Linked DNA regions of Ovis aries. The protein of the gene in region 1 purifies or fractionates together with the protein of each later gene. This does not show direct contact. Links are inferred from orthologs where the notes say so. Each region holds a gene or a part of one and is shown on either strand. Other genes may lie near its edges.

Evidence for each region.
Region 2: the proteins of MAGED2 (region 1) and GNAS purify together in Homo sapiens (affinity purification with mass spectrometry; 3 studies listed by BioGRID, counting the BioPlex papers as one, with this or other methods). This does not show direct contact. The link is inferred for Ovis aries from reciprocal best matches to the Homo sapiens genes MAGED2 and GNAS.
Region 3: the proteins of MAGED2 (region 1) and C1QBP purify together in Homo sapiens (affinity purification with mass spectrometry; 3 studies listed by BioGRID and IntAct, counting the BioPlex papers as one, with this or other methods). This does not show direct contact. The link is inferred for Ovis aries from reciprocal best matches to the Homo sapiens genes MAGED2 and C1QBP.

What each region holds. Positions count from the first base shown.
Region 1 is NC_056080.1:52,807,001-52,817,425, forward strand, and holds the end of MAGED2 (melanoma-associated antigen D2), read left to right. Parts: intron 1-242; coding exon 243-716; intron 717-1,303; coding exon 1,304-1,612; intron 1,613-1,732; coding exon 1,733-1,796; intron 1,797-2,057; coding exon 2,058-2,137; intron 2,138-2,675; coding exon 2,676-2,770; intron 2,771-3,470; coding exon 3,471-3,550; intron 3,551-3,643; coding exon 3,644-3,686; intron 3,687-4,020; coding exon 4,021-4,083; intron 4,084-4,892; exon of another isoform or gene 4,893-5,020; intron 5,021-5,181; coding exon 5,182-5,296; intron 5,297-5,663; coding exon 5,664-6,062; 3' UTR 6,063-6,070; intron 6,071-6,252; 3' UTR 6,253-6,387; downstream 6,388-10,425. UniProt on the Homo sapiens protein: Regulates the expression, localization to the plasma membrane and function of the sodium chloride cotransporters SLC12A1 and SLC12A3, two key components of salt reabsorption in the distal renal tubule.
Region 2 is NC_056066.1:57,147,923-57,158,799, reverse strand, and holds the end of GNAS (guanine nucleotide-binding protein G(s) subunit alpha isoforms XLas), read left to right. Parts: intron 1-1,043; coding exon 1,044-1,141; intron 1,142-4,209; coding exon 4,210-4,264; intron 4,265-4,395; coding exon 4,396-4,469; intron 4,470-4,586; coding exon 4,587-4,645; intron 4,646-4,753; coding exon 4,754-4,874; intron 4,875-5,033; coding exon 5,034-5,164; intron 5,165-5,385; coding exon 5,386-5,453; intron 5,454-5,677; coding exon 5,678-5,824; 3' UTR 5,825-6,188; downstream 6,189-10,877. UniProt on the Homo sapiens protein: Guanine nucleotide-binding proteins (G proteins) function as transducers in numerous signaling pathways controlled by G protein-coupled receptors (GPCRs).
Region 3 is NC_056064.1:25,998,483-26,009,256, forward strand, and holds C1QBP (complement component 1 Q subcomponent-binding protein, mitochondrial), read left to right. Parts: upstream 1-912; 5' UTR 913-1,013; coding exon 1,014-1,236; intron 1,237-1,851; coding exon 1,852-2,002; intron 2,003-4,175; coding exon 4,176-4,272; intron 4,273-5,610; coding exon 5,611-6,000; coding exon of another isoform or gene 6,001-6,071; 3' UTR 6,072-6,187; coding exon of another isoform or gene 6,188-6,337; 3' UTR 6,338-6,586; downstream 6,587-10,774. Other genes in the region: RPAIN (RPA-interacting protein), read right to left, coding at 6,969-7,199, 8,192-8,255, 8,403-8,514, 10,259-10,319.

The DNA.
Region 1 (10,425 bases):
CCCTCCCCCAAGTAGAAGGAGGGAGGAGAGAAGGAAGGAGGGAGGAAGCTAAGCTAGAGGGAGAGTGGGCCCACCCCTCTTCTGCTCAGGAGTGGGCAGAGGTGGTCAGCTGCTGCTGCTGCTGCTAAGACCACAAATAGGAGTTAGTATAAGTAAGAGAAGTGAGGCCCTGGAATAATGGAGCCATTTGCTTAGCTGGGGGTGGGGAGAAAGTTTGTGAGCTTCCCTGCTTCATCTTGCAGGCTGAAGCTTCAGAAGAGGACCCTGGCTTGAAGATGCAGACCATACTGACAGTGACCCAGAACTTGGAGGCCTCAGAGACACCACAGGCCTCAAAGACACCAGAGGTCTCAAAGGCCACGAAGATCTCAGATGCTGCAGGAGTCTCAAAGACCACTGCGGCTCAGGAGGTATCTGCCACTCAGGCTTCACCTACCACTAAGCTGACCGATACCCAGTTTCTAGCAGCCAAAAAGAAGAGTCTGGCAGCTGACACCAACATGCAGCATACTGACCCTCAGGCTGTGACAGTGTCTGCTACTGAGACCAAAAAGGTCAGCTCTGTGGCTGATACAAAGGTCAATACAAAGACCCTGGAGACTGAGTCTACTGCCTCTCAGGCTCTGGCAGATGAACCTGAGCCTGAGGGTGCAGCTGGTCAGGCTCAGGAGAATCAGGATACCCGGCCCAAGATCAAGGCCAAGAAAGCCCGAAAGGTAAGATCTTTGCTCTTCTACTTCTCTCAGTTGGTTCATGGTTTTGTAAACCTTTAGAAGGTTTGTTTCCTCTCCTCATAATAGCTGTGGGTAGACACAAAGAGGAATTTGTTATAATTCCTGTCTTCAGAAAGCTCATAGACTGGACATGAGATAGGAATACACATAGCCGAAATCAAAACAAAATGCAGTTTATGTTTACATAGTAGCTTACCATATGTCAAGGGCTTGAACTAGGCATATTCACACAGGTTATCTCATTAAATCCTGAAAGTGATCTAGTTTTGTAGAGAAGGAAGTTGAGTCCCAGTGAGGTGGAGTGACTTGTCCAGGGTGATATAAACAGAATCAGTGGTGGACACAGGAAGAGGAGAAGCCTCAAGCTTTACATTTGGGTTGCTCCTGTCCTGGTGGGAAGATGAAACTCCTACTTGGAAACCAGTGAAAGGTGAATCCAAGACTCAACATGGCCAATATCTAGTGAGTCAGGCTGTTACTGCAAGGGTGGGATTAGAGGGGACTTCTATGAAGGAAAAAAGACCATCTGTTTCATCTGGCAATGTTGTGTTTGCTCTCTGTTGATGCAGGTGAAGCATCTGAATGGGGAAGAGGATGGCAGCAGTGATCAGAGTCAGGCTTCTGGAACCACAGGTGGCCGAAGGATCTCAAAGGCCCTAATGGCTTCAATGGCCCGCAGGGCTTCAAGGGGCCCCATAGCATTTTGGGCCCGCAGGGCATCAAGGACTCGGTTGGCTGCTTGGGCCCGGAGAGCTTTGCTTTCTCTGAGATCACCCAAGGCCCGTAGGGGCAAGGCTCGTCGCAGAGCTGCCAAGCTCCAGTCATCCCAAGAGCCTGAAGCACCACCACCCCGGGATGTAGCCCTTTTGCAAGGGAGGGTAAGAACCTTGTCCTCTCCACTCTGCATTATTCTCTGCTTTGCCTACCTTTTTCTCTGCCATTGTGTCAAGTTTTTTGCAAACATATTTTGATCTTTCCATCTTTTCCACTTCTCCCAGGCAAACGATTTGGTGAAGTACCTGTTGGTTAAAGACCAGACGAAGATTCCCATCAAACGCTCAGGTAGAGTCCTACTAACCCCTTCCTTCCTCCAGCTCTGCCCTCCAATTGCCCTCTCCCCCATATGCTGAGGGCATTTCTTGCTCTCCTGCTTCCACTTATGCCCTCTCAAAGTTCTAATTTGGCAGTAGTAGCATCTCTGTTCACTAGCTCAGAACCTGTTTGTGCCACCCACAGCAGGGTTGGTAAAGGGTCTATAGTTTGGGTATGGGGGCCACTTGGCTTCACTTCAGCCCAGGTGCTCGCAACACTCTCCCCTTGCAGACATGCTGAAGGACATCATCAAAGAATACACTGATGTGTACCCTGAAATCATTGAACGAGCAGGCTATTCCTTGGAGAAGGTGAAGGGGCAGACCTGGGGGATGGGTGCATTGGGGAAACCTTGAATCAAACAAAGGTGTACATGTCTCTTCTGGGGGGCACCACAGAAACTAATCCAGCCCCGTCACTGTGCAGATGGGAAGACAGTGGCCTAGCAAGGGGCATAGACTACCTTGAGGTCACACAGCAAGTCCATGGTAAAATCACAGCTAGAACCCAAGCTACCCAGCTTAGTCTTGGCTTTTGTCCACTGCTGGACAGTCTTGTAATGTACTTCAGATACTCACTTCTCAATTTCTTTCCCCACTCTCTGGCTCCCTGGATTCCACTAATCACAAAGATGACAATAACAGTAATGCATTTGTTGTCTGTATGCTGTGTGCTGGCCACTCAGCTAAGTGTTTTATGTGCATTATCTCACTGATTTCACATGCACACACACATACACACACATACAAGCATACACACACAGAGAGACAGACTCCTGAGTACGTGGGGAGCTATGGGATGCCAAGGAAGCTGAATTCTGTGGTCTCACACTGTTGTCCCCATCCACAGGTTTTTGGGATCCAATTAAAGGAGATTGATAAGAATGATCACTTGTACATTCTTCTCAGCACCTTAGAGCCCACTGATGCAGGCATACTGGGAACGTAAGCTGGGATAGGGCTGGGATGGGAGGGAGGCATCTGCTTTTGTTCATGGTACTAGTTCATCCCTATCTTCTCCCTATACCCCCTTAAGAAATAGGAAGGACAGAGCCCCAGACCTCTTTTCTATCACCCTTAGGTAGTTGGAGCCCTGCACACAGGAGTGGTACCTGATTATGATTGTCTGTAGGGTGTAGGAGCCTCGGGTAGTGCATTCTTACTGTAATATTTTCTGGTTTTCCAGAAGCTTCCCAAGAAAACAGACTTGTCATTCCTTGTCTCTTCATATTGGCCTTGGCAGAATAGTTCTCACAGGAGGGCTTCCTGGTATGAGTGGATCATGATGCTCGATGGGCAGGGGCATCATTTGGGGCTATGCCTAGAATTTTCTTGGAACTGATGGGTCTGGGGGAGCAAGAAGGGACTCACAATTGACTGGGTGCCCAGATCTTACCATTCTTCTATTCTCTCAGCAACACAGGAAGAGAAGGATGTGTTTTTCCCATTTTATGAATAGGAGACTAGGCTCAAAATCTTAAGTGCCTTACCCAGGATCACATAGAGCTTGAAGCATAGATGGGGCAGAATTCTCCCATATCTGAAGAATCTGGGAGAAGCTAGCCTAGTGAGCTGGCTGATATGTGTTTTTTTTTGCAGATGACTGTTGGATGTAAACCTTCTCTCTCTCCCATTATTCTCCTAGGACCAAGGACTCACCAAAGCTCGGTCTCCTCATGGTGCTTCTTAGCATCATCTTCATGAATGGAAATCGATCCAGTGAGGGTGAGTGGCTGGATTGACAGCTGGATGGGGGGTTGTGGTCAGAATTGCACATGTTCATTTTCTATCCCTGTTTCCTTTTTCCTCCCCTTGCAGCTGTCATCTGGGAGGTGCTGCGCAAGTTGGGGCTGCGCCCTGGGTATGATTGGGCTCTGTCAGCACTTGCTGTCCATGTTGTCCTTTGGCAAGAGAGGATGGTCCCAGGATTGCATCAGCCTGGTGGTCTGGTGGGGTGGGTGGGGGTGCTGGATTGGGTTCAGGGTTCTGACCTAGGTGGATGGGGAAATGGTCCTGAACTCTGCTCTATGTCACTGACTCTTGGGTTTCTATGGAGCTTCCATCTATGCTGGAAGCTTCTTTTCCCTGTGGGAAATGTCTCTGTCCATATCTGGGAAGTGCTGTAGCCCTAGTTATATTTATCTATGTATGTAGTTATGTATGTATGTAATTATTTTATCATTCTCTACTGTCAGGATACATCATTCACTTTTTGGAGATGTGAAGAAGCTCATTACTGATGAGTTTGTGAAGCAGAAGTAAGTCTGTATGGTGTTGCTGTGTTCCATGCATTTTGCCTGTCTTCAAAATGAGTGATAAAGCTATGGTGCATGTGCATGTGCTTGTGCATGTTATATAAGTGCATATGCAAGTGGTAGCTTTTTCCTGAGATAGTGGCAGAGAACATGAGTACACGTTTACTGACCTACCTGTGCTCTCATATATGCCTTTGGAGCAGTTCTTCGGGGGAAGGATTGTCATCACCAGTATTGTATGTGTGAGGAAACTGAAACTGAGAGGTGAAGTAATTTGCTCAGGGTTATACAGGCAACAGACAGAAGAGTTGTATTGAAATCCTGACTTCAGTACCTTGGTTCTTTTTACTATGCTAGCTAGGGCTTCATAGAAATTTATTTCCATAAAGAAATGCCATAGAATGGTAGCTTTAGGCAACCAGGTACTGTCCTGGAGTCTTGACTTGAACATCTCATTTCATTTTCATAACTACTCTGCAGAATAGCTGCCATCAACCCAACCCCGGTATCAGTTGAGGAGCCTGGTGCTCAGAGAGTAGGTCTGAACCTGGCCCTGGCTGGTAAAGGACCCATTTGGATCTGAAGCCTAGTCCTCCTGACTTTTCTGACCAGGGCCCACCCTGTTGTTGGTCCTTGGAGAACATGTGTACACTCACGCAGGTGCACCAGCACACATGCCTGAATGCTCACACACAAATGGTCGAGAGTATGCGTTGAATCCACTGCTCTTGGTTGACTGTTTTGTCCCATACAGTCATTTCCTAGGATGGACTGTACCAGGGTTCAGCCAGGCGATGGATGAGCCCGTTGGTGGGGTGTGCTCAGAGCAGGGGGCCTAAAGAATTGGCTTCTCTATTTGCAATACACCCAACAGGAATCTGGGTTATTGTGACAGGGGCACACAACTTGTGGCCTTCCTATGAAGAAATACTCTATACAGGCCCCTTGTACCTCCACATGGCTGCTGGGTAGGGTCAGTGAGATAGGGCTGAAGATTGGAAGAAAAGCTGCAGTAGTCAGTGGGGGAGTTTGCCACCTAAATGCATGAATGGGCCATTAGTGGTCTTATAGACATAAAGGCTTTGACCCTCTCTTTTCAAGGTACCTGGACTATGTCAGAGTCCCTAATAGCAATCCCCCTGAATATGAGTTCTTCTGGGGCCTGCGCTCTTATTATGAAACCAGCAAAATGAAAGTCCTCAAGTTTGCCTGCAAGGTAATTGGAGAACTGCCCAAGCTTGGCATACCAAGAGCATGGGGTGCCACTGTCTGGGGTAGGCTGTGTGCAGAACAGCCTGCAGCTCATGCATGAACATTCTGAAGCCTGTATTAATGTGCAAACACTTTATTTGAATCATTTAATACTTACAACTGACATGTCATTGCCTTATTGTAAATGAGAAAACTCAGGCTCAGAGGTTGTTAGGTGTCATGTCCAAGGTCACAGAGATAGTAAGTGTCAAAGCAGAGCTGGAATATTAGGTGCATAGCTACTAGTAGTATTTATGGTATTATAATTTGCATAGAGTAGGCACTTGGTGCTCAGATTTGGATCCTTCAGATGATTGTTCTTCCTGTCGTAGGTACAAAAGAAGGACCCTAAGGAATGGGCAGCTCAGTACCGAGAGGCAATGGAAGCAGATATGAAGGCTGCAGCTGAGGCTGCAGCTGAAGCCAAGGCAAGGGCTGAGATTAGAGCTCAGATGGGCATTGGGCTCGGCTCTGAGAATGCTGCTGGGCCCTGCAACTGGGATGAAGCTGATATTGGACCCTGGGCCAAGGCCCGTATCCAGGCGGGAGCTGAAGCTAAAGCCAAAGCCCAGGAGAGTGGTGGTGCCAGTGCTGGTGCCAGCACTGGTGGCAACTTTGGTGCCAGCACCAGCCTGACAGCCACTCTCACGTTTGGGCTCTTCGCAGGCCTTGGTGGAGCTGGTGCCAGCGCCAGTGGCAGTTCTGGTGCCTGTGGTTTCTCCTACAAGTGAGATATCAGGTATCTACTTATATTTGGGGAAAGCCAGGGCTCATGGGGGTGGGATAAAGAGCTGGGTGGTTACAGGAAGGCCAGGGTTGGAGGATCATGGAGAGTGTGAGAAAACACTACTTTTGACATTTTATTCCTTCCTATTGGTGGATATAATTGACTTTTTTATTTTCTTTTACTTGTGTTTTCAGATATTCCTAATCCCAGCAATCTTTGTCTTCGAGCCAGGGTGCATCCTCAGAAACCTATTCAGCACAGCGCTCTAGGCAGCCACTATCAATCAATTGAAGTTGACACTCTACATTAAATCTATTTGCCATTTCTGAGTTTATTGCCTTTTTTGGTGGGCTGTCACGTTTTGTATCATATTTTAAAATGAACTGGGAAAGTTTCCACCTCAGTCTGTGCTTAGCTTGAGGTGACATTGCTGAATTCAGTGGAGCAAAATTAGCATGTTTCCTGGGATAGGTTGGGCCCCATCACTATCCTATAGAGCAGGCAGGGTTGCAGTGGTGTGGGAGTCATGGAGATTGTAGGCATAGAGGGCATACTTAGAAGCTCTGATATGGGCAAATCTGGTCCAGAAAAATAGAGGAGATTGGACATCAAGTATTGACTCTCCTTTTGAGAAACTTAGGTTAGACAAGAAGGTGAAAGAGGTAGGTAGCTAAAGAGAGGTACAGGAATAATGATTTTCTTGGGAAAAGAGAGATTTGAGCAGGCAGGAGCCAAAAGACGGGGAGATGTTGAAGGCTGACTCATGCAGCCTAGTCCCTGAGGAGGTGGGAGGGGAGGACCTGTGGGAAGGGACTGTACAGAAAGGACTTGGAGAGGGGACTGTAGAAGGATTCCAGACAGTGGGGAGGCCCCAGTAGAGCAGGGAGCCCATGATTTATGGTAGACCCCCTTCCCCATGGCAAAGTGCTCAGTAATCTTGTAGGAATGAAGATGAGTGTTAGTTTATTCCAAGGATTTCATTCTGTTATTCAGTGGTAGAATAAGGACAAGACCAAGGGCAGCGAGTGTATGAGTCAGCATCTTTGTTACCATGTCCACCAGTGTAGGTTCACAGAATGGAGAAAGAGATGGACCAGGGAACCCAAGCAGGATTGGTGAGGAAGATGGAGTTTGAGTGACAGATTGGGAAACAGTGCAGGGGTTTGTGGACAGGAGTCTCTGAAGTCTATGAACAAGACAGAAAGGTAAGTAAATATACTAAGTGCCTGCTGTGTGCAGTGTTATAGCTGTCTGGGAGGGAATGTTCAGAGAACCAGAAGGATGAACTGAGGGATTAGTTCGATGGTCAGACAGTAGAATGATTAAGAAGACAGGAGAAAGAACTCTGGGCAGTGGGAAGATCCATGGAATAGCTGGTTAAAAGGGGAGATGATGGTTCCTAGAGATGAGGAGGGGTAAGTGGCCTGGTTGGGTTATCCATTTGGACAGTGAAATCACCCAGAATGGAGGCAGAAGTTAGGGTAGAGAGGAGCACTGTGAGCCAAGTGCCAGAGTTCCCTTGTGTAGTTGAAGGTGTCCTCCCAGCTCTACTACCCACTTAAGGCATGGGACCTTCAGGCAGAGATCCACCTTTGCCCTGTTTTGGAGAGTATTTCCCTGGATCTTCCTTCCCAGGAAGCTCTCAGCATCTAATCCCCACATTCAGTTCAGTTCAGTTGCTCAGTCGTGTCCGACTGACTCTTTGCGACCCCATGAATCGCAGCACGCCAGGCCTCCCTGTCCATCACCAACTCCTGGAGTTCACCCAAACTCATGTCTATTGAGTCGCTGATGCCATCCAGCCATCTCAACCTCTGTCGTCCCCTTCTCCTCCTGCCCCCAATCCCTCCCAGCATCAGAGTCTTTTCCAATGAGTCAACTCTTCGCATGAAGTGGCCAAAGTATTGGAGTTTCAGCTTCAGCATCAGTCCTTCCAATGAACAACCAGGACTGATCTCCTTTAGGATGGACTGGTTGGATCTCTTTGCAGTCCAAGGGAATCTCAAGAGTCTTCTCCAACACCACAGTTCAAAAGCATCAATTCATCAGCACTCAGCTTTCTTCACAGTCCAACTCACATCCATACATGACCACAGGAAAACCATAGCCTTGACTAGACGGACCTTAGTCGGCAAAGTAATGTATTCTGCTTTTTAATATGCTATCTAGGTTGGTCATAACTTTCCTTCCAAGGAGTAAGCGTCTTTTAATTTCATGGCTGCAGTCACCATCTGCAGTGATTTTGGAGCCCCCCAAAATAAAATCTGACACTGTTTCCACTGTTTCCCCATCTATTTCCCATGAAGTGATGGGACCAGATGCCATGATCTTCGTTTTCTGAATGTTGAGCTTTAAGCCAACTTTTTCACTCTCCTCTTTCACTTTCATCAAGAGGCTTCTTAGTTCTTCTTCACTTTCTGCCATAAGGGTGGTATCATCTGCCTATCTGAGGTTATTGATATTTCTCCTGGCAATCTTGATTCCAGCTTGTGCTTCTTCCAGCCCAGCATTTCTCATGATGTACTCTGCATATAAGTTAAATAAGCAGGGTGACAATATACCAGACCCCTAATCTGGGACAGAGGCACACAGACAATGAGACTCTAGTAATAGCTCTTAAGACTAAAAGCAATAAAGAAACAAGGCTTATTGCTTAGGGAACAGAATCTAAAAAAGAAAAAGCTGCACCAGGAGCAAGGAAGTTCCTTGCCTGTTGTCATGAATCAAGACCTGCTTTTGCTGCGGAGATGTTGAGCTCTTCTTCACTGGAAGCATTGATTCCATAAGCCATGGTTGCCTCAGGGGTTGGATAGTACCTGGGAGAAGTAGGCAAGGTCAGAGGCAGCTTAGACCTAGGAAGGATTCTATAGCAGGTGGGTACCATGTCCAGGGTGCCCTTAGACTCCCAGGTGATGTCCATCTGAAAATAGGGGGTAATGTAAGGGGGTAATGGTGAGGGGTGGCAAGGAACTTGGAGACTGTGATTCTAATAAAAAGTGAGTTTAAAGTGCTTGATAAGAGATAAGGGTGAATCATAGTCATGAAGAACTCTGACCTTCCCACTTACCTTCCCTCCACAGACCACTGGGTTTGCAGGGCTCCCCACCTCTTCTTTCCTACAAGGCTTAGACTTTGGAAAATAATGGTTTTTTTCTCACTACCTCAGGTGTAAAGATGGAAGGCATGTGAGGTAGGGAGGAAGAGATCAAATCTGGTTCAAGGCAAATGGGGAATGGCCAGAACTAAAAAGAAGGAGGGCCAGGGGAAATGGGGACAGACTATGGTTCATGTTTTCGTCACCTTTATTAGCTTGAAGGCCACTACTGTAATAAATGAACTCCTACAGTATTATCATTAAATTTCAAATAATTCTAGAATATATCATGTATTAATATTTCCCATTTGGCTAGGAGTGGGAAGAGCTCCAAAAGCAATTTCTCCATCTATTTTTTTATTATCACCCTCAAGCTTTTTCAGACATTTTTGTCTCAATTGCTACTCCCCATAAAATTTGAATACTACAAATATACTGTGCACCTATTTAATGTATAATGTATATTTGTACTTTATACAGAGAAAGGTTTTTACTCAATATAGGGTTTATAATGACTAAAATATTTAAAGTTTAACAATTTAAGATACTGTGAGCAACTTTATAACTATTTGCTGATCAGCTTTAAATGTAACATTTACATTGTAATGTATCAAATTACATATGTAAATCAGCAATTTATATAGCTATGTGATAATAGCAGTATAACCAATATTTTAAAATAACTATTCAAAACATTTTTCAGCAAAAGTAAAACATAAAATTTTAAATTAATTTCTTAAAAATGATTTTTAGTGTAACTAACTTTCAAGCATTGCATGATAAAAGAAAAATTTTAACTAGCTGCTGGGTATCCATTCAGGTATCATCAGCATTCTTATAAGCGCTCTTCAGTGCTTGACTGAAAGATCAATTGAATAACTTTTGTAGAATTAAATAGAAGCTATTTTTAATTCTCGAAGCCCAGACAACACTCCGAGACACTGAGGAAGTCTTCCAATCACAGCCATCTATTCACCATGGTTTTATAGTGCTGATTTTGCATACATTTTCTGTGTCTTCCTCATTGTTGCTCTTGTGAAACTCAAGAAAACCCAACAACAGAAATTAAATGAAATTAAATACTAAAGAGTAAGATTCTTCAATAAGGTTGAGCTTTAGGGGGACACAAACTATGGTGAAAGATTTGGGGGAATTTTTGTCCCCCACAAGGACCAATTTTCACTCCCTTGTGGTTGATCACCCACAACTCCATCTGCCCTTTCCTCCTGCATTAATACAAGACCTACAGTAACATTTCACCTGAATTGAATAA
Region 2 (10,877 bases), on another chromosome or scaffold:
TATATATATATATATATATATATGTTTTGACCCTTAGTGAGGGAAGAATAGTTTATAAGAGGGGAACAGGAAATACGGTGGAAAGATGGGCAAGTTTATAAGGTCCAAAAGGAAAAGACTTGTCTACAGCAAAAACAATGACTTATTGTTGCCTTTTGTCAGGATTTCGTGGGAATTTGTGTTTGTATATTTTAAATGTGTTTGGCTGCAAACTTCTCCTATCCAGGAAGCAGTATTAATAAGTATGGCTAGGTAAATTTTCTTAAATAGGAAGAAATAAAAGAAGAGTCCAGCAGTAAACACAGCATACATAATGCCCAACACAGACTCTTCTGTGATTCTGTAGCTCTAACAGGAGAAAATGCACCAGGATGGTGACTCTTAAGGGTCCTCCTGTTTAGCTTTTGACCCTTTTCTTGCTGCATTCATATTGCAGAAAAACCTTTCCTTCCCTTGTAAGGGGAGATTGCCCCATATAATTAAAAATGTTTTTACGTCAAATGACATATGAACCGTGACCTATTGCAGTTTAAAACTAGGCAGAGGTCATTTGCTCCTTTGATTGATAGGCATTGACTGACAAGGTCAGATTTGCCAATAGCTCCCAATTATAATATTTTTTGCTAAAATTCACATTTTCCTGGAAGGAAAATTGCGGTCTCATCACATCTTCATAAATGAGATGTCTTACCTCCATGACATCAAATCATTTATTGGCAAAGTCTCCTAATTAGCTTGTATTCCTCCTAGGTAAGCAATTGGGTGAGGAAAGAAACTTATTCAGTAGTTCAGTTTGGCCCTTCATCCCATTCCCAAAAAAGTACAGAATGAAAACTACCCAAGACCAGTAATCCACAGAAAGAGATCAGCTGGTGTCAATTTCCAAATACGTGTAGCACGCTGAAGTTCTTTATGAACACTGACTCCTTAGTTTGCCTCGAAACGGAATAATTGCACCCAGGGTTGGTGGCAGGGTGAACTCTGGTCTCACTGACTGGGAGCAGCCCCTGTGTCTAAACATTCCCTCTCTTGTTCACTTCCAGGAATTCTATGAGCATGCCAAGGCTCTCTGGGAGGATGAAGGGGTGCGTGCCTGCTATGAGCGCTCCAATGAGTACCAGCTGATTGACTGCGCCCAGTAGTAAGTACACTGTCTCCGCATCAGCGTGCACGCGCACACACACAAACACGAGCGCATGGAGAACATCCTAAAAACCACAACTCACACTGTTTAAGTTACTTCTTTTCAGAGAAGCCAGCCTGCAGTTTGAAAGTTGTAGTCCAATTCACTGGTTTTATAAAGCCCTTAATTGTACTTTTTAGTGCAGTGACATTATTTTTATACAAACAGGTAATGCCTGGTAGAGCAAAATGATAATTACCTGCAGTAAAGTGATGTTCATAATTAATTACCTTGAAGTAATTAATTGAATTGACCTCCAAGCATGTGGGGAGATAGGACAGCTTTCACACTTTGGATAAGGTAGAAGTATTGTATTTTATTGCTATAATTTAAAACGTGACAAAGAGGAACAGTGTGGCAAAAATATGCCTCCCCCCTCCTTCGTGGCCAGTCCAGTATTTCTACTATCAGGTAAGTGACTGTAGTAGCTGCTAGAGTCCAATATGTCTAGTTCATCTAGAGTTGGGTATTGTGTTGAATTCCATCTCCTATCCTTATTGATTCATTCACACTGGGCTTAATTCGAGGATGCTCCCCCCATGGGGTCCTTGCTGTGTCCCTTCATGGGCTCTCTTCCAGTGGATGTGATAAACACAGCTGGAAAGTTGCTTTTTAAATAGTTTACAACCTTGCTTATCCTGTACATAATATAGCAAATATGTGATGTTCAGAGCCATAAAAGATATTTTAAAGGTATCGTTTGTTTGCTGATGTTGCACAAATGTACTCAGCGGTCTCAGTTATCATATATTCTTAAGTTGGATTGTCTTTTATGACTGGGGGAAGGGCAAGAGATATTTGTGATGTTTCAGCCTCTCTTATGTAAGTAACTGAAACACACACAATTTTGCTATTGAAAATATTAAGTAACCAGAAACACGGTACCCGGCTGGCTCACAGAAAGCTAAAATTGCATTACTTAGGAGCCCCACGCCTGAGGAACTTATGAAAACCACTTGAATAAACAGGAGGGAGGAAGAGGTGACAGCACTCCAACTGCAAACACAAAGCAAGTGCCCCAAATTCCTGTTATCTACACATGACAAGAGCTTGTGTTAGGGGCTGTGAAGCCTGTCAGTTTCTCTCTCCTTGGCCCTGCTTTCCCATTGGAAGTGCATTTGATTATTTTCAGTTATCACACATACAGCTATTTTGTGATTTCATATACAAGCAAATCTGTATATTTTTTCAACAAGTGAGAAAAAAAAAGTCCATCTTGGCCAGTCTCTGTGACCCCCCCCCCCCCCCCCCCCCCCCCTCAACAAAGTCTCTGATTTTCTCAAAAGTTTGAGCTTAAAGCTGGAAGTGCTAATTATAGTAATGCAAAACAAATGGAAATCCTGGAATTGTTTGCCTTTTGTAGTTTGGATCCAAGTCAGAAGTACAGGTACAAGATTAGAAGGATTTAACCACTCCAGTTTGGAGTGCTCTGGGAGGGGGTAGGGTGTAACACTTCATTAATTAACAGTTTAGCCAGCTTTTTTTTTTTACTCTCACACCATTTAAAAGTTTTTTTTTTTTTTAAAGCAACACTCAATTACTCCTGCAACTTTATCTGAAAAAGGCAACATATGCAGTTTATGGAAAGTTTTAAGGAAACTCTAAGAAAAAGAGAACACAGCTCAAATTTTATAAAATGTCTTCCCCAGCCCAATGATTGGAAAGCGGCTCTGCCCCTGCAGTGACCAGTGTGTTTCTGGTTTCACTGCCTTTATGTTAAAAAGTTGATCTACTGCTACCTTGCCCATTTCTTAAGGCGCCTGTTTTTATTTGTTGAGCCGGGGTTTGGCTGGCCCCACTCCAGATGTCTCTCTCACAAGATTTGGTGCTGATGATCTATTTTTAGAACTGTGGTTCTGTTGCCATGGCAACATGCTGGAGGCCAGGGCGGCTGGGGAGCTATTTCTGGACTGGTACTGTAATGTAAGACTGATTGGGCAAGTTAGTATATCCTCTAAGCCAGACTAACTTTAAACTGGTAAAAAGGAAGGAGGAAAGAAGAAAAAAAAAAAGGTACAGACTTTCTTTAAATAGACTTTTCTTTGTGATTTTTCTTCTCTGATTAGCCCCCTTTAAAATAATTCCAGACCCCTCCCCCAAGGGGGAAAAAGAAAAAAGCTGGTTTTACCATTAACACAGTAATCAGTGTTTTAAAAGTTATTTTTCCTAACAGTGTTATCTAGTCTGGCAACATAAGCAAGGTACTTTTTGCTTTGGGGACAGTGTATAGCTGTGGAGAGGGAGGTGAAAAACACTGCTTTTCCCCTATAAAGCTTTCTCATCGTTAAGGATGGCCCCTAAGATCTCTACCCCTCCACTATGCAGGCTCCCAGCCTGAATAAGAGCCCCTAACCTGGGTGGCTGTGAGGGTTTTTGAAAACACTAAAGTTTAATATCTTGACTGTGCTATTTCATAGACCAAGTAGAACGGAAGGGAACGTTGTGTCTGTTTCCTGTTCAGTGTGGTAAGGGCCCGGCCCCTTCTTACAAGTAGAAGGAAGGGATACCCTTTCTGAGTAACTCAGACAATCTCATTTTTATTAGTCTCTTGGGAGGGGAAAAAACCTTGCTGCTCTTAAATGTGCCATTTTTTTCCATTTTTTAAAACACCGCATGACAGGAAGAGTCCAATTTTCATACTACTTGCCATTTTAACCAAAGCCAAACAATTTGAATTTAACTCAGTCATTATCAAACTGCACAAAATCAGTCAGCTGATTGATCTGCACAGAACCAGCCTTTTAAAATTAAAACAAGGCCAGGAGAGCCCACTCCTAGTTCCTGATTCCTAGACGTACTACTGCTCAGCCAGGTACATTTATCTTATATTCTCTTTGCTCTAACCTCTCTAAAGCATAAGCTTGGAATCATAAGTTTAATGAACACAAGAAAAATTCCCACTGACTTAACGCCATGTAACTGTGGGGTGATCATTTCCATTAGCTGATCGTTGCAGAGAGGCAGGAATAGTGGGTGGGCAAAGTGGCACGAGTATGTGGTCACCCTGATGCATCTTTTTCTCCCAGCTTCCTGGACAAGATTGACGTCATCAAGCAGGATGACTATGTGCCCAGCGACCAGGTACGCACACATTCTCACAAGCAGAGGACTTGGAGCCCTCTGTCCCAACTAATTGGCAACTCCAGACTGGCAATTATTAATGAGTGTTAGTTGGTTTCGGTGAGATCCCTTGACCCAAGATTCTGTTTTAGGATCTGCTCCGCTGCCGTGTCCTGACTTCTGGAATCTTTGAGACCAAGTTCCAGGTGGACAAAGTCAACTTCCAGTAAGTAAATGGTTCCCTTTAAAAAAAAAAAAAAGATATCTTGACGTTCCTTCTGGTAGGGAGAGTGGTGGACCAGTGTCGCCCTTGGAGTGACCAGGTATCATTTCTCTCCTGCAGCATGTTTGACGTGGGCGGCCAGCGCGATGAACGCCGCAAATGGATCCAATGCTTCAATGGTACGGGAGCCGCGGGCTTCTCTGCTCTTTAAGGACATTTTGCTTTTCTAGTTGTTAAGGATCACTTTCCCTGCTAACATGCGTTATGTTTGCTTTCTCGTGCTGAAGATGTGACTGCCATCATCTTCGTGGTTGCCAGCAGCAGCTACAACATGGTCATTCGGGAGGACAACCAGACCAACCGCCTGCAGGAGGCTCTGAACCTCTTCAAGAGCATCTGGAACAACAGGTTTGTGCAGTGACGCCCCCCTTCCCCCAGTCTCCTTCCTACTGATGTCAAGGTCAATAGAAAAGAATCTTGTACAAGTTCTTGTGCAAGCATCTCAAACCACTTGCAAAAAGAATACTCTCTTTTCCTGGGCAATAAACATGCTTCCCTCTTTCTTAGATGGCTGCGCACCATCTCTGTGATTCTGTTCCTCAACAAGCAAGATCTGCTGGCTGAGAAAGTCCTTGCTGGAAAATCGAAGATTGAGGACTACTTTCCAGAATTTGCTCGCTACACTACTCCTGAGGATGGTACGTATGGCCTTCTGCAGTTGATTAGTGCCCATGGGTCCCACAGGGTTTTGCATATGTTAAAGATTTCTATTGATTTTAAAAATGAATGATCTCTAAGAATGGAACTCCACTTCCCCAGCCACCACCACCACCACCACCACACTATAAGGGGTCTATAGGGGGAGCAAAAGAATCTCATTCTAATTACTTAAGTAACAAAATATTTATATTCTTTACAGCGACTCCCGAGCCTGGAGAGGACCCACGCGTGACCCGGGCCAAGTACTTCATTCGAGATGAATTTCTGGTGAGTAGAGATTGTTGTTTACTTAATTCTAAATCTGAGGATCAAACCATCCAGTTCCTCCATGTTATTTCACTGATAGCCAGCATGACTCTTAGCCTTTGTGCCCTTCAGTTGGGGATTGTTTCAACATAATGTCAATAACTAGCAGGCAGAGTTTGGTAGATGACATCTACTGGTGAGTTTCTGGCGAGGGGTCACTGACCACCGTTCCTCTGTCCCCACAGAGAATCAGCACTGCTAGTGGAGATGGGCGCCACTACTGCTACCCTCACTTCACCTGCGCTGTGGACACCGAGAACATCCGCCGTGTGTTCAACGACTGCCGTGACATCATCCAGCGCATGCACCTCCGTCAGTATGAGCTGCTCTAAGAAGGGAACCTCTAGATTTAATTAAGGCCTTAAGCGCAATTAATTACAAGTAAGATATAACTACACGCAGTTGATCACCCACCATAGGGCATGATTAACAAAGCAACCTTTCCTTTCCCTCAAGTGATTTTGCGAAACCCCCTTTACCCTACAGCTTGCTTAAATATTACAAATTTAGAAAGCTTAAGGCGGCCTATAGATTAAGATTAAGAAAAAAAGGCCACAAATGTTCCCTTCTCTCTTTAAGTAAGCAAAATATAATAGCAGCAAACAGAAATAAATAAATGAAATAAATGAAACAAATGAAATAAATATCGTGTTGTGCAGCATTAAAAAATCAAAATAAAAATTAAATGTGAGCAAAGATGTGACTCCTGTGAATTATTTGCGGTTTCGAGCAGACATGCACTGTTCAGGGTTTGGACTACATCAAAAGTTAGGAGGCCCCCATGTTTAGGTGACAAGGCCCCAAGGTTATAAGTGGGTGTAAAATCTTCCCATATTATTTGTTGACCTAACCTTGGGTTTCTGAAAATGATTTTCAGACGATACCAAATGATCACCCTGTCCTTCTCCCAAACCGATGCCCTGAAGAAAACCATTAAGGTCCATCAAAAAATTCTATACTTTGAGCATTGCTGCCCTATCCAAGTATTCTACCAATTTATACCTTTATATACTATCTTAGGGTGGGTCTACTTCCCTACTCTCCCCAAAATAGGTGTCTGCTTTTCAGCTCTTTGTCCATCCAACATCTCAGTTGGGTGGGAGGAATTTAGTAATGCAGTTTCAAATCAAGTGGATTTACTTAAGAAATAGTGTATAATGTATATTAAATCATCACACTGTATACACTGAATATATTAAAATTTGTCAATTATTAACTCAGTAAAAATGATGGGAGGGGTGTGGGAGGTAGGGGGTCGGGAGGAATAAACCTGGTGCAAAGCTATCAAATAGTTACAAACAAATGGTGTCGTGATTTGGGGAAAAATTAGGCTGGATCCCTATCTCATTCCATATGTAAATGAACTCAATGTGCAGCAAACATGTATGTTTAAATACAGAAAGTTACTTTTTAAATGGCTATCTTTACAGTTCAAATCTTGGTTTATAGACGGCCTCTCTAAGCTGGATGTAAGATTTAAAAAATTTAAATGGGGGGAGGACTGTAAAAAAAATATGAGTGAGGGCAGGGGTGGGAACTGGGTAAAAATATGTAAGAAAGGATTCATGTCTCTAATAGGCAAAGAGCTCTTAAGAATTAATAAGCAAGCCTATCACAAAAATGGGCAAGGTACATGAACAAGCAATTTTACTTTTTAAGGTACAAATAAGTAATTACCTCTACACCTCATCTCATACACAGATGAACTCAGTGGGTCAAACACATATGTTTAAATACAAAAATGTACTTTAAAAATGGTGATTTTTACAATTAAAATCTTAGTTTATAGAAGACCTCTCTAAGCATGACCTAAGATTACAAAATATAAAGTGGAGGTGGGGAGATGGGAGAGGACTGTGCATAAAATATGAATCAGGGTGGGGGTAGGGGTGGAAAATGGGTAACAATATGTAAGAAAGGATTGATTATCCTAATTAGCAAAGAGCTCTTAAGAATTAATAAGCAAGCCATCATAAAAATGGGCAAGATACATGAACAAGCAATTTTACTTTTAAAGAAGATACAAATAACTATCTACCTCATCCCACACACAGATGAATTCAGTGTTGGTCAAACACATGTTTAAATACAAACATGTACTTTTAAAATGGCAATTATTACAATTAAAATCTTATGGAAGGCCCCTCTAAGCATGACCTCAGATTAAAAAAATATAAAATGGGGGTGGGGAGGTGGGGTGGGAGACGGCTATACAAAACTTAAATAAGAACGGTGTTGGGGTGGAAACGGTAAAAATACGTAAGAAGGATTAATTTCCCTAATAAGCAAAGATCTCTTATTCAATAAGCCATCACAAAAATGGGCAAGATACATGAACAAGCAATTTTACTTTTAAAAAAGGTACAAATAATTATCTCTACCTCATCCCACACACAGATGAACTCAGTGTTGGTCAAACATGTTTAAATACAAACATATACTTTTTAAATGGCAATTATTACAATTAAAATCTTATGGAAGGCCCCTCTAAGCATGACCTCAGATTAAAAAAATATAAAATGGGGGTGGGGAGGTAGGGTGGGAGATGGCTATACAAAACTTAAATAAGGACGGGGTTGGGGTGGAAACGGTAAAAATACATAAGAAGGATTAATTTCCCTAATAAGCAAAGATCTCTTATTTAATAAGCCATCACAAAAATGGGTAAGATACATGAACAAGCAATTTTACTTTTTAAAAAGGTACAAATAACTATCTCTACCTCATCCCACACACAGATGAACTCAGTGTTGGTCAAACACATGTTTAAATACAAATGTGTACTTTTAAAATGGCAATTATTACAATTAAAATCTTATGGAAGGCCCCTCTAAGCATGACCTCAGATTAAAAAAATATAAAATGGGGGTGGGGAGGTGGGGTGGGAGATGGCTATACAAAACTTAAATAAGAACAGGGTTGGGGTGGAAACGGTAAAAATGCGTAAGAAAGATTAATTTCCCTAATAAGCAAAGATCTCTTATTCAATAAGCCATCACAAAAATGGGCAAGATACATGAACAAGCAATTTTACTTTTTAAAAAAGTACAAATAATTATCTCTACCTCATCCCATACACAAATGAACTCAGTGTTGGTCAAACACATATGTTTAAATACAAACATGTACTTTTAAAATGGTGATTTTTACTACTGAAATCTTATGGCTCATCTAAGCATGACCTAAGACTAAAAAAATGTATAGTGGCAGTTGGGGATGGGGTAGGAGAGGGCTGTATAAAATGTAAGATCAAATATGAATGGGAGTGGGGATGGAACTGGGTAAAAATACATAAGAAAGGATTAATTTCTCTAATAAGCAAGGAACCCCTAAGAATTAACAAGCAAGCCGTCACAAAAATGGGCAAGGTATATGAACAAGCAATTTTACTTTTTAAAAAGGTACAAATAACTATCCTTACCCTCATTCCATACACAAATGGACTCAATGTGGGTCAAAAACATATATTTAAATATAAAAATACATCTTTAAAATGGCTACCTTAAAATATTGGTTTATAGAAGGTAATAAGCATGACATAAGATTTAAAAACCATAAAGGGGGGTTGGCCGAGGAGAGTGCAAAACTTAAATGTGAATGGGGGTGGGGGTGGAGACTGGGTAAAAATCTGTAACAACAGGTTAATTTCCCTAACAAGCAAAGAGTTCTTAAGAATAAACAAGCCCATCACAAAAATGGGCAAGGTACAGGAACAAGCAATTTTACTTTCTAAAAAGGTACAACTAACTAACATTGGGGAAACCATGCAACTTCACTCATAATGAAGTGAAATACAAATAAAAATCTTGCACCATTGCTGGGGGAGGGAATGGGCAACAGCACTCACAGGTCCCACACCAAACTCACTGAATCCTTGACGGGTCATGGCTTGGACCTGAGATGATCTTGGGTTCCCTATAGTTCTTCATCACCAGGCTCATCCCTTAAGCTCATGGTCAACCATGGTGTGGCTTCCTAGAAGGTTGGGAGGGAGACACCAGCTCACCCCCAGCATCAACCATTGCACCCTCTGAAACAGGCCAAATGGGACATCAGTCAAGGTGACTCTACCTCAGGCCCAAACCCTACTTCCTGTTCTATTTTCCAGGTCAAATTAATCCCAGTCAATTAATCCTCAAGCTCAGTACTGCAGAGGTGAGCAAAGAGTATGCCACCGAGGGCAAGAAAAGTAGCAAACACCCCCTATCCATTAACCTTCCCAAAGTTCCTATGTAACATTCATTCCACATAAAAATTGTGTGCTTACTAGCGAGATTTCATCACAAAATGACACTCAAAAGCCGCCCAAATGAACATACAATCAACATGAGTGCTAGCTATCCAAATACAGCCAAAGACCCACCCCTTAAATGTGCATAATCCTCCAAAGTACCCCAAATAAACACTAAACCCTGGGCAACAACTACAGGACCAGCCCAACCATAAAAACACCCATCCAGGTAAAGTGCTGGCAGAGAATAGTTCCCAAGTCCCTCTTCCAAGATGGCCAGCCGGAGGCCCCACCCATCCTGAGATTCTAGAACCTTCTCGGAATAATCCACATTAGGTTGCCATAGTGCTAGCCACATATCCATCACCATTAGAAAACAAACTCTCAGGCTATAGAACATGTATATGTGAAAAATGCAATCCCAGAACCCCAGGCCCTTGCTGATCACAACTGGCAGAGACTGTGATGACGTCCAGAAGGATGGTAATAAAAGTCACAGTTATCCAGCATCTACCAGGCACCCATCAGCACCTAACCAGGCAGGGTCCGCTGTTTCTGCCTTTTTTACCAATGACTAAACACGGCCTAGGGAGGCCAAAGTAACTTGCCCCAAGAAAGATTAGTAAGCGGGGAAGATGGGCTTCAAACTCAGGTAGACAAAGCCCACTGCTTGGCTGCTATCATATCCTGTAGTTCTAGACAATACGGGAAAAGAGAGAGGGTCTCCTGCTAGTCTTTCCAGGATGTCAGTTGTGGGGAGACCATGACCCATGGTCACCATTGGATTCCATAGCTGGTGGTGCTGGGGGTAGAGAGATTTGTGAGTAGGCAGCAGAGTGGAAGGGAGGAGTGCCCTCCTCCCTCAGAGTGGCACTGGATACACACCCCCAACCCAGGGATTGAACCTGCATCTCCTATGTCTCCTGCATTGCAGGCAGATTCTTTACCACTAATAATAAACCACTAAGTGGCCTGATGAAGCTTTAGTTTGAAGACGGTCTAGAATTTTTACCCATCTTCACTTTCAAAATTATCCCCAAAGAAATGGCCACCTCAGCACAGCCCTTCTATGTCAAATGGTATTCTCTTATCATAATAGTTTCTTGGACATTTTTTGGTCTTTTTATTCAACAAATAGAGAGCAGAGAATCTAT
Region 3 (10,774 bases), on another chromosome or scaffold:
CATAAGGGTGGTGTCATCTGCATATCTGAGGTTATTGATATTTCTCCTGGCAATCTTGATTCCAGCTTGTGCTTCATCCAGCCCGCATTTCGCACGATGTACTCTGCATAGAAGTTAAATAAGCAGGGTGACAATATACAGCCTTGACTTACTCCTTTCCCAATTTGGAACAAGTCTGTTGTTCCATGTCCAGGTCTAACTGTTGCTTCTTGACCTGCATACAGATTTCTCAGAGACAGGTAAGGTGGTCTGGTATTCCCATCTCTCAGAATTTTCCACAGTTTGTTGTGATCCACATAGTCAAAGGCTTTGGTGTAGTCAATAAAGCAAAAGTAGATGTTTTTCTGGAACTCTCTTGCTTTTTCCATGATCCAGCGGATGTTGGCAATTTGATCTCTGGTTCCTCTGCCTTTTCTAAATCCAGCTTGAACATCTGGAAGTTCATAGTTCACATACTGTTGAAGCCTGGCTTGGAGAATTTTGAGCATTCCTTTGCTAGCGTGTGAGGTGAGTGCAGTTGTGCAGTAGTTTGAACATTCTTTGGGACTGGAATGAAAACAGCTTTTCCAGTCCGGTGGCCACTGCTGAGTTTTCCAAATTTGCTAGCATATTGAGTGCAGCACTTTCATAGCATCATCTTTCAGGATTTGAAATTCCATCCCCTCCACTAGCTTTGTTCGTAGTGATGCTTCCTAAGGCCCACTTGATTTCCCATTTCAGGATTCCTAAACTTCTTTAGTTCCTGAAGATTCCTGTTGCTGCAGAACTAAAGTTTAGGAATCAGATTCCAAGCCTCCCTGGGAGGCTACACCGGAGGCCACCAGCAGAGGGCAGGGTCCTGCCCACTGTGCCTTCTGGTCTGCAAGGCGGCGGCGCGGAAGCACTTCCCGGCTGTGGGGCGGGACTTCCGGCGGCGGTCCCAGATCTAGGGGGCGCAGCGGCAAGGAGTTGTCCTTCTAAGCGAGAGTTGTATTTCGAATCTGCACGTGTTCGCCACCGCCTCCGCTGCCAAAATGTTCCAGCTGCTGCGCTGCGTGCCCCGCGTCCTGGGTTCTGCCGTCGCTGGTCTCCGCGCCGCCGCACCCTCCCTGCCGCTTCTGCAGCCCGCGTCCCGGCCATGCGCCCGGCCCTTCGGGCTGCTGAGCGTGCGCGCGGGGTCGGTTCAGCTGCCCGGCCTCCTGAAGCCTCGGGGGCCCTGCGCTTGCGGCTGCGGCTGTAGCGGACTGCACACCGAAGGTGAGACTCATGCACGTGGGCCGGGGGCGTGAGGGGCGTGGGCCTAGGTGGGGCGGGGTGTTAGGGGCTGGGAGGTGTAGACCACCTGAATGGACAGTCCGGAGCCGCTCCTGAGGTCCGGAACATTCTCCCAGTGATGGTCGACCTGCTAGTTAAACCCACGCGTAGTAACATTTCCCGTCCTCCCCCACCCCTGTTTGACTGCGGGGATAGATACTGTAAAGTCCTGGAGGCCGGCTTTACCTCAGTCTCTCGAAAATGGAACTTTGCGAAAGCCCAAGGTCGCGGTTAGAAGTAGCGTGATGTTTCTTGGCAAGTGAAAGGGTAGTGGCGATTTTTTTTTTTTTTTTTTTTGCTTTATTTTGAAACGTCGTGAGAAGTTCATTATTCGGGATCACTTTCCTAGAATCCATGCTCAGCTTCCCACTGATAGCTTACATTTTTACAGATGAAGGAATTGAGGTTTAATGGATATGAGTTGGGCTAAGTCCACAGAGCCACCATTAATAGAAGTATTAGGAAAAAACAGGCTAAGTCCTGGTCTTTGCTTGTAGTAACGGGGTCATTTTCCATTTTAGACTAATTGGCTCTTTCTGTAACTTATTTCCATTGTAGGAGACAAAGCTTTCGTTGACTTCCTCAGCGATGAGATCAAGGAGGAAAAGAAGATACAGAAATATAAGTCTCTCCCCAAAATGTCAGGAGGTTGGGAATTGGAAGTGAATGGGACGGAAGCCAAATTAGTGCGGAAAGTTGCTGGAGAAAAGTAAGTACCAGGGGCCTATGGAGCCCAGGGGACCACATCCATAAACCTGCAGGACCTGCTGTGAGGTATCCACAACAACTTTTAGTTAAGACAGGTGCTTAACTGACTCCTGGTTTCCCAGAGATGGTATGATTCGTTTGGATAACTTCTTAGGCTCCTTTTTGCTTATTCACTGCACAGTAATGTGCTGTGGTGGTTAACAAGGAGACAGTAAGCTAGTAGCGGGGTTCCCCAGTGGCTTGGCGTCCAGAACCCACCTGCCAAAGGAGGAGGTGTGAGTCTGAAATGGCAACCCACTCCAGTATTCTTGACTGGAAAATCCAATGGACAGAGGAGCCTGGCAGGGAGTCCATGGGGTTGCAGAGTCAGACACGACTGAGTGCCTGAACATCACCCCAGTAGCACTGAAGCCAAGCCACTGGGAGTCTTCTGGACCAGTAGAGGCAGCAGTCACTGAGCCCTTCCTGGTGAGTGAGGCTGTGCCTTGCCCACAACTAGGCATGCAAATTCAGAGATTCCGGCACTGCCCACAGAATCGGATTTACTCTGCTGGGTCTACTACCCTCAGGCTCTGGCTGAGGAAAATAAAGCCCCTGTTCTGTTTACAGTTGAGAAAGCAAGATAATTAACAGGGTGGGGTTGCAGTATAGTTTTTCATTAGAAAAGAGGGATGCTTTTGGCCTGCTTAAGCTGTTTTAAATCCACGGTCCACTTTGAAGTTTTGCATGCGCTGTGAAGCAGCAGGCTGGTGCTTTTGCCTAGTATTGTAGTGCTTTCCCCGTCATAGATCAATTGTGTGGTCTGTAACGTGACCCAAACCACTCTCCTAGGCGAAGTTATAGGCAGTTTGGGACCATTATAATGTGCTGCTGAACATAGCTGCATTTCTCTGTCCAGGGGTCAGTTTGGTCCACACTGTCACAGCTTAGACAGATTTTGTGCCTGTACATCAAACTTCTGTCTGTCAAGGTGCCAGTTACCATGGCTTCAGAGGGCAGCGTTGTCTGCAACCTAGCAGTGCTCGTTCCAAGTGTCACTCAATTTTCAGTTCAAATTTTGGAATATGATATGTCAGGTGAAGATTCTTGCAAGTTAAAATTGTCATTAGGTGGTGTTTGTGGCCTGCCTTGTCATTTATTAAACTTCCTACATCTGCTCTGAAGAATAAAACTGTCCAGCAGCATATTCTTTTTTTTTTTTTGCCACACTGCTTGTGGGAATCTTAGTTCCCTGACCGGGGATCAAACCCAGGCCATGGCAGTGAACACACCAAGTCCTAACCCCTGGCCCACCAGAGAACTCCTCTATGTGGTGTCCTTTGTGAGGCCTCCCCTTCCTGGGGCCAGGGCTACTCTCCATCCTCAGCTGATGCCACAACCCTCCGGTGCTCCTTCTCTTCCTCTCAGGCAGATTTTCTTCTAATGGAGGAAGATTTTTAAAGGAGGCTCCTGGGACTTAGTGGTGGTCCAGTGGTTAAACCTCTCCTCTCCCAGTGCAGGGGACCTGGGTTCAATCCCCGATCAGGGAACTAAAATACCACACATAGCAACAAAGGTCACATGCACCTCGCAACCAAGACCCAGCCCAGCCAAGTACATTTTATTTTCTTAAAGGAGGCTTTTGGAACTTTGTGGTGGTCAAAGTGTCTGCTCCCAGCGCAGAGGACCTGGGTTCAATCCCTGGTCAGGGAACTAAGATCTCGCATGTAGCAACTGAGCGATCCCATACATAACAATGGTCATGCGTACCTCGCAACCAAGACCCTGTGCAGCCAAGTACATTTATTGTTTTAGAGGAGGCTTCTAGCCCATGCCCACAGCTTCTCAGCTGCTCACCACCACTGGGAGGTGCCCTGGAAAGACAAGAGTGGCGGTGTCAGCTGACTGTGGCTATAAGGTTGACAGAGAGCCCCGGATAGTGGCCTGATGGCAGAAGCACCAACACACAACTGTATTTGGCTGAGGAAATAGTGCCTAATTGACTTCCAGCAGCCAACACATAGTAGGCCCACTTCAGACCTGCTGAATCCAACTGTGGATGGGATGCAGGCAAATCAGATGTAAAGCCGGCTGAGATACATTGTTTCAACAGCATTTTTAACTGTAGCAAGCCGTAGTACTCAGCTACTCAGTTAAAAAGACATCTTCATTGTGCTCTTTGGTTGCCTTTCTAGGATCACTGTCACTTTCAACATTAACAATAGCATCCCACCTGCTTTCGGTGGTGAGGAGGAAGAACCCTCCCAAGGGCAGAAGGCTGAGGAGCAGGAGGTAAGTTTCTAACACTGTAACCAGCCTGTACCCACCTATTTCTGACAGGCTTAGGGAAGGAGCATTGGTTTTTGTTTTGTTTAAATTCTAACGCCAGGAGAGAGGGCAAAGGCAGCCATCCTTGGGCCTTTACTTGCAGAGCACCAGAACTGTGTGGCCACTTTTCTTTCCCAGGGGCCAAGTGTTAATGAATTGTTTTCTGTGGGCTTAAGCGTTATAGTTTGGCCGGTGTTCACCTAACAGGAAGGAATTTAAACTGTCTTAACCCTTCTCATGATCAGGAGATAAATCATTTGGAGTGTTCCACATGAGGAATACATGTCCCGAGTTGGTAATAAACACCAGCCAGGGGCATCAGAGACTTTGGCAAGGCCTCTCCTTAAGTTGCTGCCCTTCTTGGTTGGACCTGGATGGTGTTTAGTCCTCGAACATTTTAGGAAGCTTTGTGCCTGGCCTAGAAACCAGCCAGTATGAGGGCCACAGGTCCCCAGACTTTCTGGCTGGGTGGGCATGGTATTGTCTCATCACCCAGCTCAGCTCCCTGGAGTGCTGGCCCAGCCCCCCTGACAAAGACCACCCCCAACCCATCCATGAGGTTGGCTGGCTCGCTCTCAGAGCGCCTCTGGGCCTCTAGTCAGAGGCACCAGCCTTTGGTCCTGGGCTGTAATGAAGATCCCAAAACATCTGGAAAGGGGTTTTGGAGTTTTGAGCCAGCTTTGTAGTGTATAGATGTAGAAACTGACCCAGGAAAATTAACTGGCACACTAGATGTGGCTAGAGCTGAGTTCCTATTTCTGAACCTTGTATGTTCTTTAAACAAGCAGGGTGCTAATAGAAGTGAAAGGCTGTACTAAATTATGATACTCTGCCTCCGAAACAGTCCATAACGCTAGAAAGGAATGACAGGATGTACTCGGCCCAGTCTCTGAACAAGTGGGTTACGTGGCTGTAATACTGTGTTAAAGATTCTAGGCTTCTTATTTGGGAACCTCTTAGCGCAGTGTCGGAGAAGGCGATGGCACCCCACTCCAGTACTCTTGCCTGGAAAATCCCATGGATGGAGGAGCCTGGTAGGCTGCAGTCCATGGGGTCCCTAAGAGTCAGGCTTGACTGAGTGACTTCACTTTCACTTTTCACTTTCATGCAATGGAGAAGGAAATGGCAACTCACTCCAGTGTTATTGCCTGGAGAATCCCAGGGACGGGGGAGCAAGACTTGTAAGTGGCTAAGTAATATCGTAATAGCAGTGGCCGTCAGACCCCTGAATTGAGACCTTTAGTCCAGACCCCTGCCACCAGACCCTTGCCAACATTTACTGACTTGTTCTTATTTCCCTAGCCTGAATTGACATCCACTCCCAATTTTGTGGTTGAAGTTACAAAGGATGGCAGCAGCAAGGCCCTTGTGCTGGACTGCCACTATCCAGAAGATGAGGTGTGTAGGGTGGAGAGCTGGCGGCCTGGGGGGCGGTGGTGGGGGGCCTCCAGGGGGCTTTCCTGGTTCCATCTAGCTGATATTAACATTTTCTGGCTTAGAGCAGCAAAGCTGGGAAGATTAGTGGGAGGTAAGGGAACAAGGTTAAAATCTGAGTTTCAAGCTGTAAATAATCCCTTTTCTTCGCCTGAGTCTGGCTTGTCCTGGAAAACCTTTCTGTTTCGCCAAATACTGTCTCTCTTCAGATTGGACAAGAGGATGACCAGAGTGACATTTTCTCCATCAAGGAAGTGAGTTTTCAGGCCACCGGCGAGTCTGACTGGAAGGACACAAATTACACACTCAACACAGATTCCCTGGATTGGGTGAGTGCTAGATAAGGTGGGGAGGGGCCTACCTAATCCAAGGAGAGACAAAGAAGCATCCTAGTAAGTGTCTCAGGTGTCTGTCTGTTTTTTTAACTAGTAAATGATCCTTCTAGGGCTTATACGACCACCTAATGGATTTCCTTGCGGACCGAGGGGTGGACAACACTTTTGCTGATGAATTGGTGGAGCTCAGCACAGCCCTGGAGCACCAGGAGTACATTTCTTTCCTCGAAGACCTCAAAGGTTTTGTCAAAAGCCAGTAGAGCAGGCAGCAAGGTGCTGAACACCTTAATTTTATGGCAGGCTTTGGCCAGTGAACAAAACCTAACTCTGAAGCCAGACCCACATGCTTTGAAAAAAATTTTTTTTTTTTAATCCCAATATCATGGAAAATAATTCACTTTTAACTTATTTCTGTTGTCTCTTATTTACCATTCATTTATCCTCTACAAACCCTTTATTTCTGGATTTTTGTATAACATAATGATGGACAATAAAAATCTCCAAGGTGATTTGTCTTTTCTAATTCTATACCCTCCCTTTCAACCTGTATTACAAAACATGAAACAGAGGAAAGTCTGAAATGTTTTAATAAGTTATAAATAAAAGGTTTGTATTTACAAGGCCACTTCTCAAGATGGGACTTTCTTCCAACACAGTAGATCATGCATCAAGACTGGGACCGACCCTAGAGGATCACAGCCCAAGTATCACAAGCCTGGATTTAAACAGAAAAGAGTTAGAGTTATTCCAGTGACAAAGACAGTCTCAGCATATGGTTAAAAGTCATCGATAGCAATGACACTTAAGCTGCTCCTTCCACGACCTGGGTGGCCTCTGTGCTTCCCCCCTTCAGGAGATGGTTGGCCTTTTAACTGAAATAACATCACTTTTCTATGCAACTAAGTTCCTCTTTTCTACCAGGGTGGGAATAAAACCATCCGCTGACCCACTGTCAACTACTGGCTCCCGTGGTAGGCTTACCAGACAGCTCATGAGAAGACATGACTTCTCCTCTGTCCCCTCAGTGACTGAAAATTCTGGCGTGTGGGGACAATGTGCACTGTGCTCATTGACACTGTCTTCTAAACAGGCACGAAGCTTTTGCTCTGTCATCTCCGGAGACTAAAAAATAGACAAGTTAAACTATAACCTAATCTTACTAGCCTCATAGTCAACAGCTTAAAAAACTGCAGCTCCCCTCACACCAATCCACAACTGGCTCCCTGTGATGGCTTGATTCCTTGGACCCTTAGAAACGCTATAACTGTGCTAAGAGGATCTCTTTAAATGTCCATCTAGCTGCCTCTCCAAATGAACCAGTGCTCTTCCACTCCTGCCGTAAAACACTAACTGCTGCTCATCGTGCCAGGAACACTCAGACTCTGGAACCTCCCTGTGTTTCTGCCTCTACCAGCCAAGTGTATGATTACCCAGAACCAGCAAGCTCCCATATCTGCTGCTGAACTTGCTACTGTAACTGAGTGATTTAATTACATACTATATAAACCAATGAAATAATAAGAAAACAAAGTTTCATTTTTGTGATAGTAAGTGGAATGTTTAGGAAACAAAAAGATGCTTTAAGAAAAAGAATTAGGTAAAAGAGTAAAAGATGGGGAGGAAAAATCCTAAAGTGTAGACAGCTTCTCGATGCTTTATAGAAACAACTGGGGAAACAAGACTTTAAGAGAATTTTACAAAAAACAACCTCAGCTCTCCAGTCAACAGAGTCTCTGGCTCAAAGACTGGCAAGTAAACATGTATGTTTGAAACTTACTATAAAGTGTGTCATTTGTATAATTCACCACTTTAATCAACTGGCAAACTTTTGGTCAACATCATGTCAGATCAGATACAAGAGTTTCCAGTACTAAACCAGGCTCTCTTCCTAGACGTAAGTGCCTCACAAATGGCTTGTGCAGAGGGGCTGGGAAGACCCTGATTTATGGAGCTTGCCAATTCCATGGTGTCTCATATTGCCACTGTGACCAATTTCAAGCTACCAGTGTGTGAACTGGACGTGAAGCTGGGACAAGCTGTGCTCGCTACTGGAGTTTAAGAAAGTAGGTACATGTGGGAAGAGGTAACACAAGACCTGTGTGAGGAACACTCACATGAGACTGGATGTACAGGCCACACTGACACACGACCAGTCCGCTTGCTACCCTCAGGTTGTACCTGGAAGCAGAATTGGGATCCCAGAGCATTACAGCTAGCAGACCCGTATCCCCCCACTTCCCAGACCACAGAGTTGGGGGGAGTTCCACTCACCTTGGAGTGGGGGGTGGGAACGAACAGTGCTGAAAAGGTTGTGAAAACTCTTACTTTGTACACACGGGACAGATGAGGGGGTTTGCTTCCCACTCAGCAAGCATGACACTGAGACACTGTTCGTCAAACTGCAAGCTCTTCTCGTACTCACTGATGATGGACTGTTCTGCAAGGCAAAGGAGAGCTGGAGTGGCACCGTGCATCACTTCGGGCACCCTGTCCCGAGTGCTAGAAGATTCATTTTCAAAGGCTTCATCCACACAAGAGACAAATGAGGGTAAAACCACACTACAATCGCTAGATATTCACTGCTGTGTCAGGCCTCCTCTTACTGGATCCTTCCCCTCCTGTCTGTCTGCTTCCTTTTGAAGTGATGAGGCCACAGGAGGGGAGCTGAAAAAGTGTCAGGCAGCTGAAGAAAGCTGACAAAGGCACATATTTCTGATGCCAGGCCCCCCTGGATACGTCTAAGGCGATCTGTTCCCCACTGTCCCCAGACTCAGTCCGTGTTCAGAATGTGTGTTCATCCACTCAGCAGATATGTAAAAAGGCCTAGGACTTGGGAGGCCTAGGTAAATACAAAGATGAAAAAGGCTGGTCCCTGCTTCTGATGAGCTCACCGTCTAGACTTCAGAGTAGGGCTCAGCAGACCACAGGCCGTATCCTGCCCACCTTCCATTTTTAAAGTTATAATAGAACAGCCATTCTCCTTTGGTTGATGAATGGGCTCTAACGGTTCTCCCACTACAATAGCCGAACTGAGTAGTAGCAACAGGCTAAACATTTACAACCTGGCTCCTAAGGGAGAGTTTGCCAACCCCAATTCCAGAGGGTTCCTTATGACTGAGTAAGGCAGAACACAGCAAATTCTTATCACTTGGGATTTTTAAATTAAATACACCCCAAAAGAAATATTTAGTGAGTCCTTTCACTGAGATAGGTTTTACAGGTGAGGGTAAAGAGAAAAAAAAAAAAATCAAGGAATCTACAGTTTAACTGGAGCCAACACAGCAATCATAACAACTAACACTCGCATAGCACTTATTTTGTGTCAAAGTCCTTAACATATATATTAATCTTCACTATAAGTCTTATTTTAAAGATGAAGAAACAGGCACAAGGAGAGCCCAGCGCCACACAAGTTAAAGTGGTGAAGCTGAGAAGTGAACTTTGGCCGTCTGGGCCAAGAGTTCATGTTCTTGCATCCTCAAGATAAAAGCAATTATTTATCGAAAGCCTTCTTATATACCAGGCACCGCTCTAAGTCTTCAAAACATGTTATTTAAACTACAGAGGCAGTCTGTCATCTCTTTAACAGATGATATAAACTGAGCCTCATCAAGACAGGCCTGTGTGAAATAAATGACTTGGTTATATGAAGTACTAAATCAAGCACTCTGTGGCTCTCTGATGCTACAGGAAGGGAACGGTCACAAAACCCTGGGGAGTCAGTAAGGAACAGATGGGAGAGAAGGTACTGAAGTTAGGCAGCACAAGAGGCCTGATCATGCACTCTCCTGTAAGGGAACAAGGTTACTGTTAATCTACTAACAGAGAAGTACTGTTGGGTTGAATAGACACAGGAACCGGATTCACAGAATCAATTTTACTTTCCAACTCCACCACCAGCTATGCAGCCTGTAAGACACCTCTGTCCCCTCATACTACCTCATGGGGCGTCATGAGGACAGAGCAGTAGAAGGAGAGGTCTGAGCACAAGGCCTGACACCTGAAGACTCTTCTGTTACTGGGACAGCCAAGTACAGCCAAGACTTCAAAGTGAGAACAAGAGACCCCTGAATACGCGACTAAAGATGGAAACAAAGGAGTTAAAAACATTCTGTTTAGAAATGAGGTCAGCATTAGAGCAGTTAGAGATACAGGCAGGAAGAACTATTCCTAGACGTCACCTTGATCAATCAGCTCCTGTTGGATTTCCTCCAGCACAGCCAGGTCCATCGGCTCCTCCAACTGCAGGAGAAAGTGGGGTCATCAGAGATTTGAAGTTACGATCAACTGACAAGACCCACATGATTCACACTTGAAGACTGGCTTGAAAAACCCAGATTCAACTGAAGAAATCAACCCAGTCCTTCCATAGAATGTGCTGACAGTGCAGTAACGTGGCCATGCTGAGAAAGCATCCACAAATGATTCACCCAGCCAGGGACAAAACAACGGCACCAAAGTTGCGGGAGGCAGTGTAGGGTAGCAGCTAAGTGTATGGTTCTGCCAAAAAGCTGTGTGACCACTAGAAAGTTTCTAATCACCGTCAGCCTCATTTTGGGCCTCTGTAACGTGGACATAAAACCCACCTGAGAGGGTTACTGTAAACACTAATTGTGACTATGTAACTTGAACACATAGCAGGCACCAAATCATGCCTGTTTATTACAGAGAGCCTTGATGTTTTCAGAACAGTTTCC